Linked DNA regions of Macaca fascicularis. The protein of the gene in region 3 purifies or fractionates together with the protein of the main gene of each other region. This does not show direct contact. Links are inferred from orthologs where the notes say so. Each region holds a gene or a part of one and is shown on either strand. Other genes may lie near its edges.

Region 1 (3,850 bases), on a different chromosome or scaffold from region 3:
CCTGCCCCCACCTTGTTGACGACTTTCTGTTGCTGGGCATGCTTCTGCCGAAGGCTGGCCACCTCCCGCCACAGAGCCTCATTCTCACTGCAACAGACCAGGCTGGGTCAGTGGGGCCCGATCCCAGGAGCCCCAGGGCTGAGGGAGCCCCACAGACCCTCCCCGTCCACCAGGCAGGAGCAGGGCTAAGTATGACCATGTCTGGCCTGGCCCACCCCAGGATGAGAACTGCTGTGTGGAGGGCTGGGGGCCAGGGCCAGGGCTTGCTGGTCCCACTGCCCCCTCCCTGACAGGAACACCTGGTGTCAGGTAGGGTGTTGGGGACGGGAACACCAGGATCCAGGTGCACCCAGATCCTGGCATCCATCCTGGCCAACACCTGGAGGGCTGCCTTGGACACAGGCTAGGAGCAGACCCTTGAGCCGCCCTTCTGAGGCCTGAGAAGCCAGGTTGAGGGAGGACGTTCTTCAGGTGCGACACCGGCTGTCCCGGGTCCCGCAGGTGCTCAGGGCCAGGCCTGGAAGTGGCTCAGAGGTGGCCCCACGGGGTGGGGGAGAGCTGTCCCCAGCCAGTTGAGCAGGGCCGTGAGCGCGCTCCTGCTGCTCTGGGAGGCTGAGCCCCGCCAAGCCTGTGAGTCTTCTTGGGGCCAACTGGGGTTGGGGTTCCCGCATGCCTGGAGCCCCAAAGTGGATGCGAGACCTGAGCCAGCCTTCTGAGGTGGGCTTGCCTCAGTTTCTCAGGTGCCACCATGTGTCAGGCCCCTGCTAAGGTTTCCCCAGAGCCGCAGGGTCCTGGTGAGGAGGGGCTGGGGGGCTAGCTCCATAGGCCCAGGCACATGTGGGGCAGAGGTTCCAGGAAGGGCCTGAGATGCGTCTGACCCCAGGCCCGAGGCGGGTGGGATGGGTCTGCTGTGCAGGGCTTGTCCTCAAAAGTAGGCTGGTAGGTCCCGCCAAGCTCGGAGCCCAGGCAGAAGCCAATACCCCGGGAGGCCAGGATGGCCCAGAGAGCGCTGGGGACGTGCAGAACAGGGACCCTCTGGACCCCCTTCTGCACGTGGAGAATGGCTGGTCCCAGCAGCCATGGGCGGCGGGGCTGGGGCAGAGGCCCAATAGATCTGGGTGGAGCAGGAGGTGGGGCTGAGCACCTGGAGCCCTGGACAGGGCCCTGCCCCCACAGCACCCGCTGCAGCCCACAGTGCTGGTGTGGGACCTACTGCTTCATGGCCAGGAGCTTGGAGTCCATGCACTCCTGCTTCCCCTTCATCAGCTGCACGTCCGTCAGCAGCTTGGTGACACTGTCCTGACGGATCTTTATGTCTTCACTCTTCAGGGTGGACACCTGGATCCCCGAGAGGGACAGGGGTCACTGAATCGGCCTGGGAGCTTGGCAGGCTCAGGCTCGTACACTGCAGCAGGTCCCTCAGGAAGCAGGCAGGCTGGGGTGGGAGCTCTCAGGGAGGGCCAGGCGGGGAGAGCCATGGCAGGCGAGACTGGGCGAGGGTGCGGGGCCGGCACTCACACTGGTCACTTTCCTCTTGATGTTCTCAAGGAGCTGCTCCTGGCCGCGCAGGAAGCACGGGTGCTGGAACTCCGTGTCGTCTCTCTCTGGCTTGACCAGGCCACCCTGCTCGATGTGGACCACTTTCCGGAAACCATCTGCACATAGCAGGGAAGGGGGCGGCTCTGCTTCAGGGTGGGACCAAGACCCCTCAAAGAGCGGCCACTGCCCTGGGAGGCTGCTGCGGAGCTTGGCCACGGTCAGACCCCACCCTGCCCCTCAGAGCCCACGCCTGGTGGCCGGGTGGTCTTGGTCTAAGTGAGACCCTGTGTCCCCACAGGGCTCCCCACGCCCGATACACATGGAGTACAGCTCGGGCTTCACGGTCCTTCCCTGGGGACCCCAGGTTCATACCCACGAGGACCCTCCCCCTTGGAAGAGGCAGCTGCCCCCGGCCCCCAGGCTTGCTGGGTTCCATGGCATGCCCTTGGCCAGCACAGGGGGCTCCGTCCTTCATCCACAGGGTCCTCCTGCTGGGGTCCCACCGTCTGCAGGTCCGCCTCCCGCACCTCGGAGGCGGCACTCACACATGTTGAGCTGCCGCACGAAGCTGGCCATGTTGTTGTGCTTGAAATACTTGGGCAGCACCTCCTTGGCAAACTGGCCCTGGTCGAACACATGGAAGCTGTTCCCACTCTGAAAGGGAGACACACGGTGGGTCACGCGTGGTGGCAAGAGGCAGCGCGCCCAAACCACCCTTCCCCAGGCCACCCCTTCTGGAGCGCAGGCAGTGCACGTTCCACCTGATGGGGCTGGGGCCATGGGAGGCCCAGGGGGCTGGGGGGAGGCGAGTTCGTTCCTGGGACCACCTGCCACACGGGGCTCATCTGTGCAGCGTGACCTGCATCCTCACTGTGAGGCCCAGGACTGGGCGGTGGGCAGATGCGGGGCCTTCCTCACAGCCAGGAAGCCCCTCCCCAGGGGTTCTAGAGAAGGCCACGTTTCCACTCACAAAGCACCTGCCGCACTCTGGCCACGCCCACGGGACGGGGTTTAGCTTTACCCAGGGGTTCTAGAGAAGGCCACGTTTCCACTCACAAAGCACCCGATGCACTCTGGCCCATGCCCACGGGATGGGTGTTTAAGCAGGACATTTCCCTTAGGAACAGCAAAGGAAATTGAGCCCTGATTTCATTACTCCAGAGGAAAACACATTTGCGTTCAGAAATCCAAACTCATTCTTGTTTTGTGACGTGAGACGAGAAACAGAGACAGTCAAACACTGCATATATTCTTCCTCTTCCATTTCTCTCCCAAGCTCAGGCCCAGAGCTATCAGGAGGAGCTGGCGAGGGAGGCATCCCTGCTGGCCGTGGCCACAGTGGCTCAGAGGGGGCACTGAAGGCTTAGGGGACAGCGAGAAGCCCACACGGCAGGGAATGGGGGCCTGAAGCAGGGCCAGAGAGAGGTGAGGGGTGTCTGCACAGGAAGGGGCGGCTGACCCAGTGAAGAAACGGGAAGGGCAGTGGGGCAGATTTATCCTGCCAGGGAAGGGAGCTGCAGATGCAAACAGGGAAAAAAGCCAGAAAAACCCCCATGGTATGGCACTAGAAGTGGAGAACCGCTTTCCAATATAGAGAGACGCGAAATAAACAAGGATGTGCATGCATTAGGGAGGGAACCAATCACGGAAAGGACCCAAGGCAGCAGGAGAGAGAGGGTGAAAAACACCAAGCCAACTTTCCAGAACTCTGAAAATTAACCAAAGAATTACAGTAGCACGGGGAGCAATTATTCCAGAAAAACAGCTGAATCTTAGTAAGAACGGTGGGCTGTGTGAACTTTTTTTTTTTTCTCTGAGACAGGGTCTTGCTCTGTTGCCCAGGCTGGAGTGCACTGGTATGAACACGGCTCACTGCAGCCTCCGCCTCCCAAGTTCAAGTGATTCTCGTGCCTCAGCCTCCCAAGTAGTTGACTACAGGCGCCACCATGCCCGGCTAATTTCTGTATTTTTAGTACAGATGGGGTTTCACCATGTTGCCCAGGCTGGTCTTGAATTCCTGACCTCAAGTGATTCGCCCACCTCGGCCTCCTGCGGTGCTGGGATTACAGACGTGAGCCGCCGTGCCCGGCCAGGCTTTGCGGCATTTTAACGTGCCCTATTCCCACTCCATCCGCAGCCCTGAAGACCGACAGCTGCAGTCCTCGTGGGAACCAGTGTCCTGGCAGCTGCTGCGGGGCGGGCCAGGGCTTGGGCTCCTCCCAGGCCCCATTCCCAGAGGCCTGGCAGCATCTGCCTAGGAGTCCACGCACAAGGCTGTCTCTGATTTGACTTGAAGCTCTCCTGAATAAAA
Region 2 (3,808 bases), on a different chromosome or scaffold from region 3:
AAAAACAGTAAATCAGAAACAGCTCTCCCTAAAGACAAAACACTTTCACTTTTTATAAGAAGACCAAAACAAGTCTTAACAGGTCTACCTGAAGAGATGAACTAAGCTTGTAAGACCTACCACCAGGATGACTGATAGGATCATCTGGCAGATAGTGTGGAAGGCTCATTCTGGTTCTGATTATGTTCAGATAAACATCATCACTTAAACCTATTTAATTATTAGTTCAAAGTAGAGTTGAAGGAATTCCCCTCTCCCAATGAGTCACACTTGTGTGAAGGTGATTCAAATCCAAATCCAGGTAGTTAATATTTCATTACCTTAATGGAATCAAACCATCGGGGAGATTGGGGTAGAGAGAGATAGATGATAGACAGTCTGCTTGGCTTTCTCCCACAAAAGCCCAGAACTAATCACAATGTGCAAGGCTGAAACACGTTTTTGGGGGTGCAATGTAACCCAGGGCCAAATGCTGAAGAAACTTGGCAAATTGCATCTAGAGAAGGGCCTCTCTATCGCTATAACAAATTACTTCACTATGTATCTTCCTCAGTATAAAGTTGAGTTGGATAAACTTACCACCCTCACCATTTAATGACAAGAAAAAAAAAGAGTGACACAATCGAATGAATTAAAAGTTTAATTCTGAACCATTTTTTATAACCGCATTTTCTCTTGAAGCATTGTATCACAGCAGGTTACAACAACTTTGGGATAAAAGGCAACTGGTAAACTGTCCAAAACAAGGTTCCAAATAACACCTCTTACTGATTTACCCTACCCATACATATCCCAAATAAAGTTTTTGATCAAAAACATGAAATAGATCCACCTGCTTATTTTAAGCATATTAAAAAGGAAACTAATTGGACCATTTTCTATTTGTCTATTTTATACAAAAAGGCTACACAATGTTACACTTTATTCAGATTACAATTATTAGAGTGATTATGAATTAGTGTTCTACACCATTACTCAATTCTTAAAAATTAGAAATTGCTGTAGCAGTATTCACTATAACTTAACACTACGAGAGACTTAAACTAACAGTTACTGCAAAAAAAAAAAAAAAAAAAAAATTAAAGAGCTACTTCAAAGCAAGCAAAGTCAGTACCATTACAGATATTAAAAAAAAAAAAAAATTTAACAAGCAAGGCTAGGGTTTGATAAATTCCATCTTGTGATCCATTCTTGTGCATTCTTCACTTCTTGAGTCACTCCCAAAATCCATTTGTATTGTTACTCCTCGACCAAAAAGGACCAGAACAAAAAGTTTACTTCAATTGTTCCCATAGGAAACTCAGCTTGGTTAGTGTGTCAGGCACTTTCTGAGATACCAGCCCACCCCTCGAGCCCTCTCAGCAACTCTACAGGCCAATCACAATGCAAGTTCAGACAATACAGCTGTATAAAGAGAGAAAGGCTGCTATTAATGTTTAAAACAGCAAATGTTACTCATTTGAGTATTAAGTTGCAAAAGCTGTGGCAAAAAACATTAAAGTTAATAACTTCCACACATGATCACATAACAACCAGAAATCTGAGAACATTCCGATGTTCCAAGACATCTCCTTTCAAAGTATATACCTGTTTTTGTGGCAGATTTACAAATAGCCTAAATCACTCCCACCCTACCAACCAAGTCTTTCTGAAATTCTGTAGGCAGAGTAAAAGTATTTTACCCAAACTGGCTTTTTAAAACTTCTTACCTAAAGGATGATTTACAGGTCAGTATCAAACCAGGCCAGCTGATTGCTATCACCTGGAGGCAGCCCATCCATGAGGTCCTGGGCATGTCCCAGATCTGGCAGCCCATCAACTGGATAGTCAGCACCAGGGTGGTGGCCACCCATCTCATGTTCCATCATGGGGTCCATACCCAAGGCATCCTGGCCATATCCACCAGAGTGAAAAGAACGATAGCTAGGATCTAGAAGAGTCAGGGTATGAACAAAATAGGCAAGAAGGAAGGCAAAAGAGACAGGAGAGAAACAGACATAGACATTAACACTGAGGTTAGGGCATCCAAAGTTCAGCAGCAAACTTGTCAGAAAACAATGCTTTCTAGCCTCTTCAACTTCTAGCTTTCTTTAGCCAAGTAATTACTCAGTGCCAGACCACCCATGAGACTACACAAATAACGTCTGTTTCCATCAGAGAGGCACACCAGCAGGGCCTAGTCACATCATTAGTGTAACCCTGAACACACTGCATTTACCCCTGTCAGACTTGGGGTTCCCAAGAAGGAGAAGCAGGAATCTACTGTGTGACCACCTAGGCAATGAGAACTCATGGGAAGGAGGATTAAGACAATAATGAGGTCTGGCAGGTGTAATCTATCTTGACAAAAAGTCCAAGTGACACCAACAAAAGTACTAAGGAAAGTTAAGGCACTATTTCAATGAAACCTCAACATATTTTATCTTAGGGTTGACATGTTATTTGTCACAGTAAGAATCTGCGCTTTAGTGGTTTCATAATTAGGTAGAAGCAGATGAGGTTATAAATGTAAGACAGTTGTAATTGTTACTGGTCTACCCCATCCTCTATGTTCATTACCCAGATGTGAATTCGCTTTTCAAGAAAACCCTGATAATGCAACTATGTAAAAACCCACCCCAGATCTGAGCCTAGAGACAGGAGTTTTCCTGTCTTCCTTGGGTAGCTTGTAGACAAAAGGTATTATGAGTCCTCTGGCCAAAAAGAGAATAAAAAGCCAGGTAAACGGTAACATCCTACACTGCAGAGGCCTAGTAGTAGCATGTATTTGTTGGTGGTGTAATCCTACTGCTATTCATTGTGTGGCTCTGAATTCCCTGTGCTCCGTTAAAGATACTGTTGCTGACTGGAATTTAAGAACTGCTTTTAATTGAAGCCATTACTTTTCTGCCAACACTAGTTTCCCAGATGAGCAAACCAGCTCTTCTGATCAAGTTTTAGAACTTTAGCTTGATCTGGAGTTAATCGAGAAATATGAGACGCATACCATCCTGGCGATATCCAAGGGGTTCTCCCTGGGCACCAATATCAAGTCCAAGATCCGCAGTCTAGATAAACAGGCACAAGGCAAGAAAGAATAAAAAGCAAAATGAAAATTCTCAACTTAAAAGTACACTAATTTTTTTAAAGCATACTTTCAGATTACAAAGGAAACAAGTAACTCCAACATTACACAAATACTTAGAAAATGGAAGTTCTTCAAAACTCCACCCCTCAAAGATACATTTTTTTTCTCTTTGCACCTCACATTAAAAATACTCACTGACTTGATCTTTCAACAAATACATATTAAGCACCAACTATGTGCTGCCAGGCACTGTTCTACGTGCTAGAGATATAGCAGTTAAAAAAAAAAAACAGGCAAAATGCCTACCCCCAAACAGGAGCTGCTGACAGGATGTGTTGTATGAAAGAAAAGTTTTAGCCTGAGCAGCTGGACAGACAAAGCTGACATCAAGACAGAGAAGACAGTCAAAACAGGTTTGTGGAAGGGGGTAGGTGGAGAAAGTTAAGGGCTCAAGTTGGAACATGTTAATAAGATGCCTATTAAAAACCCAAGTAACACACCACTCACTGGTAATTTGCTCTCCTTTATTTATTTATTTTTTTTTGAGTTGGAGTCTGGCTCTGTTGCTGAGTGCAGTCTGTTAACTCCTGGGTTCAAGCAATCCTCCTGTCCCAGCCTCCCCAGTAGCTAGGACTATAGGCATCCATCCCCATGCCCAGCTAATTTTTAAATTTTTTTGTAGAGATGGGGTTTCACTATGTTGCCCAGGCTGATCTTGAACTCCTGGCCTCAAGAGCTGCA
Region 3 (3,850 bases):
AACAGATGTACCAGCATTACCTAATGAAAATATTCGAATCTATTTTTAAAGAGTTGTCGAGGAGAAGCAAGCCAGCTCTGCCTAAGAGCTCAGTGGACGGCAGGCCCTGAGCCGTCCGGGCCGCGGCGGGCTCACCTCGATGTGCTGGAACATGTAGGGGTGGTTGCAGATCTTCCGCAGCTGCATGATGGTGTTCATCAGGGTCTTGGTGCCGCCTTTGCCCTGGGAGGCAGATGAGAGGGTCCCAAATGGGGTCTTGCCCTCCTGGGGCGGGGTGGGGTGGGCTTGGTGGATGGGTGGCTGCTGGGAGAAGGGCCGTGGGGATACTCTAGTGGGGAGGAGTGGCTTTAGGCACAGCAATTGGGAGGAGATGGCAGGCTGGAGGCCTGGAGGCCCCCAACAAGCCCTGGGAAACACACGACTGCCTGGTACAGCAGAGGACAGATGGCGGGGACAGGGCCAGCACGACGGGACAGAAACAAGACTGGCAAAGGGCTGAGGCAGAGTCCCCGACGCTTTGTGATGCCACCTTTGTTCTGGGCACTGTTACTGTTGGATTCCCTAGAGGGTCTCAGCTGGGTGAGCCATGACTCAGGAGGCTCCCTGGGCTCCAGGATGAGGAAGGAGGTGGGGGCAGGGGCGGGGGGTGCGTGCTCTGGGCTGGGAATGGACTAGGGAACACACTGCTGTTCAGCTCAGGGGAGGAGGGGCACAGACACAACGTCTGGGGGAAGCCAGGCCGAAGTCAAGGCCTTGGGGTCAGAGGCAAGGGGTCTGGTGTATTCTCTGGGAGGACAATTTCACTCCTGCTGAGCAGAGCCAGGCAGGTGGGTCCTGGGGCCCAGGATTCTCAAGAGCAACCCCTGAAGGAGACAGCCCGCTCCCTCCCTTTCACTTAATAAGAGAGAGAAGGGGGGCATTCTAGAACACTCTAACCCTGCTAGGGTTAGTGCTGGGCCCAGGCTGCCAATTGCAGAAGGAGTCAGTGTTTCATAAGCAAAGGGGAAGCCACTGGCAACTGAGTCAGTGTGTCCTGACACAAGCCACCAGCCATCATAACCAGGGCTGGCCAGACGCCCTGGGGATCAGGACCAGATCATGACCCGATGGTCAGAGCGTGCTCTGCCCTGCCTGCCACACTGCCCGCCTTTGACACCCAGTGGGGAATGCAGCTGGGGGACTCCGGGGCCCACCTTCTTGTCCTTCTCGGAGCCGTCAGTCAGCAGCACGCCCTTGGCCTGCATGTGGCGGTAGAGCACTCGCTGCAGCGCAGACATGTCGCACTTGATGACATACTCCACCTGCAGGGGGCACACGAAGCTCACGAGGGCCCAAGGTGGCTTGAGGCCCGACTCCCACCACCCAAACCGAGCTCTGACCTCCCCGGCCCTGTCATATGAGCTCTGACCAGGGCACACTGGGGTGTGGGTGAGGAGTCCCGCACAGCTGGAGAGAAGAGGGGAGACCTGCGCAAAGAGAGGAAGTAGCACACAGAGATACCCGGGGGATACTGGGCCAGAAAGGGCCCCTCAGCCATCTCCTGGGGGCCTCTCCACAGCCAGCCAGGAAACAAAGAGCAAGAGGGGCAACTGTGGCTGGGGACCCCGAGTTTGCGGGTCTTGCTGTGGGAACTGGGTCCGGGGGTGTGGCTGCTGCAGGCCTTGAAAACCCAGAGCCATGACTGGGGGCCAGGGGGCGACCCCAAGCCCACGGCCCCTCCTGATGTGGCCAGGAGAGCCTGCACAGGCACCTGGCCCCCGACAGGAAGTGGGATTTTGTGCTCTAACCTATTGTGAGCTATGTGAGTCTATGAGTGCTTTTTAATCCCTACGGCAGAACAGCAGCATAGAGCATGACAGACCCAGTGGCGTCATCGCCGCCCCCAAGCTGGATTGACCAGGGCAGGCCCGGGACTGTGGGGAGAGACCCTGAGCACGCCCAGCCCTGGGGAAAGCCCCCACATGAGGCTGCTTCACCAGTGGCTCCCGTCAAAACTCCGTCACCTTTTCAGGCAACTGGGCCTCGACTTCCTTCTTGAGTCGTCGGAGCAAGAAGGGCCGCAGCACTTTGTGGAGACGCCGGATGATGAGAATGGTTTCCTCCTCATTCAGGTCCACCTGGCCCCACCAAGACACGAGAAGCAAGCATTACCTCCAAAGGAGGGCAACGGAGGTCTCACTAGAAGGTGCAGATGTGGAGACGGGGGTATGGGGTCCCCTGGGGTGACTCTGCCCTTGGCATGTGGCTTTTCAGACCGCTTTATGCTTTCTGGGGGCCCAGCAGGGCACCCTCTTCTTTAGGAAACTGTAAGGATCTGGTTCCCTCCGTGTAATTCCTGGGACATGGAGCCGCAGTACCCAGAGCACAAACCTCTGTGTGGACCATCTGCTCACCCCATCCAGTTGGGAAGCGTCTCACCCTGCTCCCTGTGCCTCACCAGAAAGACCCCGGCAGCGGGCATGCTGCTCTCCACGAGTAACACAGACTGGAGTGCCCACAGACCCACCACACACCAAGCTCACGCCAGCAGCGCTGCAGGGGCCAGCCTGACCACGTGGGGCTTACACAGAGTGATTCTCAGGGAGGGCTCTCATTCAGCCTGGGTGGAACTAGGTGAAAGAAACCCTGACCTCCCACGGCGCCTACTCCTCTACTAAGAACTAACTTTTAAAATGATTTAATTAAAAAGTTAAAGGAAAATAAGATGAAGCCAGAACTTTTCTTCTATTGCTTCCCAAGCAATCCTTTGGCAGAGCTTTTGCTCGGCTCAGAAAGCGCCGAAACTACGGCATCAGATCCTGGCTCTTGGTGTGGGGGGCCTGGGAATCTAAAAATTGGGGACCCCTTTATCATGAGGCTTTGGGGAATGCCTCAGTTTCTCTGTCAGAAGAGTCACAGCCTTGACCAGCAGCCGAGAGGGCAGGGAACTCATGGACGACACCAGGAAGGCCCCAGCTGCCCTGGACCTGTCTAAGGTGGGAAAAAGGGGGTGGGCAGGGCACTTCGAGGTAACCTCTGTAGTTCTACCCACACTTCAGCATCTGGCTAAACCCCTCAGAAAGAAACACAGCCCGTCCCACAGTTTCAACCTCCAACAGCAAGGGGGGCTCTAGGCTCAGGGACCAGTGCTGGTGTGGGGCTACTCATCCATGATGATGCCGCCATGCCACAGCCTGGCTGATGTTGTCACCCAGACACTGAGACACACTGGCCACTGCGCTTTTCGAAAACAACATAAGACAGAACCGGACCATGCGGCCTCGTTAACTGGAATCTTCCAAGCTTCCTTCCCACTGCCCTGAGGGTGAGTTCTGAGGGCACCTAAAGGGGCCTACAGCACGCTGCAGACTCTAGCGGTGCTCTCCACACACTTGCGGTTCCACAGCTGCCTCAGGGCCATCTTCCTCACCATTCCTTCTACACCTGGAGCATAGAGTCAGACACGCCCCGAGCATTCCGAGATTCACCATCATGACCTCTGCCCTGCTCCCCTGGGGCCCTTATGGCTGCCCCAGCCTTGGGTTCCAGGGCTCCCCTGGCTCCATGCAGATGCGGAATCTCGCCAGGCACCCAGCACAGGCCTAGCCAGCTGTAGCAGGCGCTGGACACGCTCCAGCCAGCAGAAAGAACCAGCCGCACCTGGAACCGTCAGCATGGGCACAACTGGATAAACCCACCTTTTCCCCAGTCATGGCGAAGGGCGCGTTGAACCACTGCTCGAAGGTGCTGCAGCTCTTGAAGATGGTGGGCAGCAGGAAGTTGAGCAGCGCCCAGAGCTCGGGAAGCTTGTTCTGCAGTGGCGTGCCTGTCAGCAGCAGGCGGCGGGGCGCCACGTAGTGCGTGTTGAGCA

Evidence for each region. The genes of interacting proteins can lie anywhere in the genome.
Region 1: the proteins of SMARCA4 (region 3) and HSF1 purify together in Homo sapiens (affinity purification with western blotting; 3 studies listed by BioGRID). This does not show direct contact. The link is inferred for Macaca fascicularis from reciprocal best matches to the Homo sapiens genes SMARCA4 and HSF1.
Region 2: the proteins of SMARCA4 (region 3) and CTNNB1 purify together in Homo sapiens (affinity purification with western blotting; 3 studies listed by BioGRID and IntAct, with this or other methods). This does not show direct contact. The link is inferred for Macaca fascicularis from reciprocal best matches to the Homo sapiens genes SMARCA4 and CTNNB1.

Annotation. Positions count from the first base shown.
Region 1 is NC_088382.1:153,991,569-153,995,418, reverse strand, and holds part of HSF1 (heat shock factor protein 1), read right to left. Parts: intron 2,194-3,850; coding exon 2,067-2,193; intron 1,656-2,066; coding exon 1,519-1,655; intron 1,339-1,518; coding exon 1,214-1,338; intron 88-1,213; coding exon 12-87; intron 1-11. UniProt on the Homo sapiens protein: Functions as a stress-inducible and DNA-binding transcription factor that plays a central role in the transcriptional activation of the heat shock response (HSR), leading to the expression of a large class of molecular chaperones, heat shock proteins (HSPs), that protect cells from cellular insult damage.
Region 2 is NC_088376.1:104,083,586-104,087,393, reverse strand, and holds the end of CTNNB1 (catenin beta-1), read right to left. Parts: intron 3,048-3,808; coding exon 2,987-3,047; intron 1,931-2,986; coding exon 1,722-1,930; 3' UTR 623-1,721; downstream 1-622. UniProt on the Homo sapiens protein: Key downstream component of the canonical Wnt signaling pathway.
Region 3 is NC_088393.1:11,592,341-11,596,190, reverse strand, and holds part of SMARCA4 (transcription activator BRG1), read right to left. Parts: coding exon 3,678-3,850; intron 2,118-3,677; coding exon 2,004-2,117; intron 1,302-2,003; coding exon 1,194-1,301; intron 223-1,193; coding exon 136-222; intron 1-135. UniProt on the Homo sapiens protein: ATPase involved in transcriptional activation and repression of select genes by chromatin remodeling (alteration of DNA-nucleosome topology).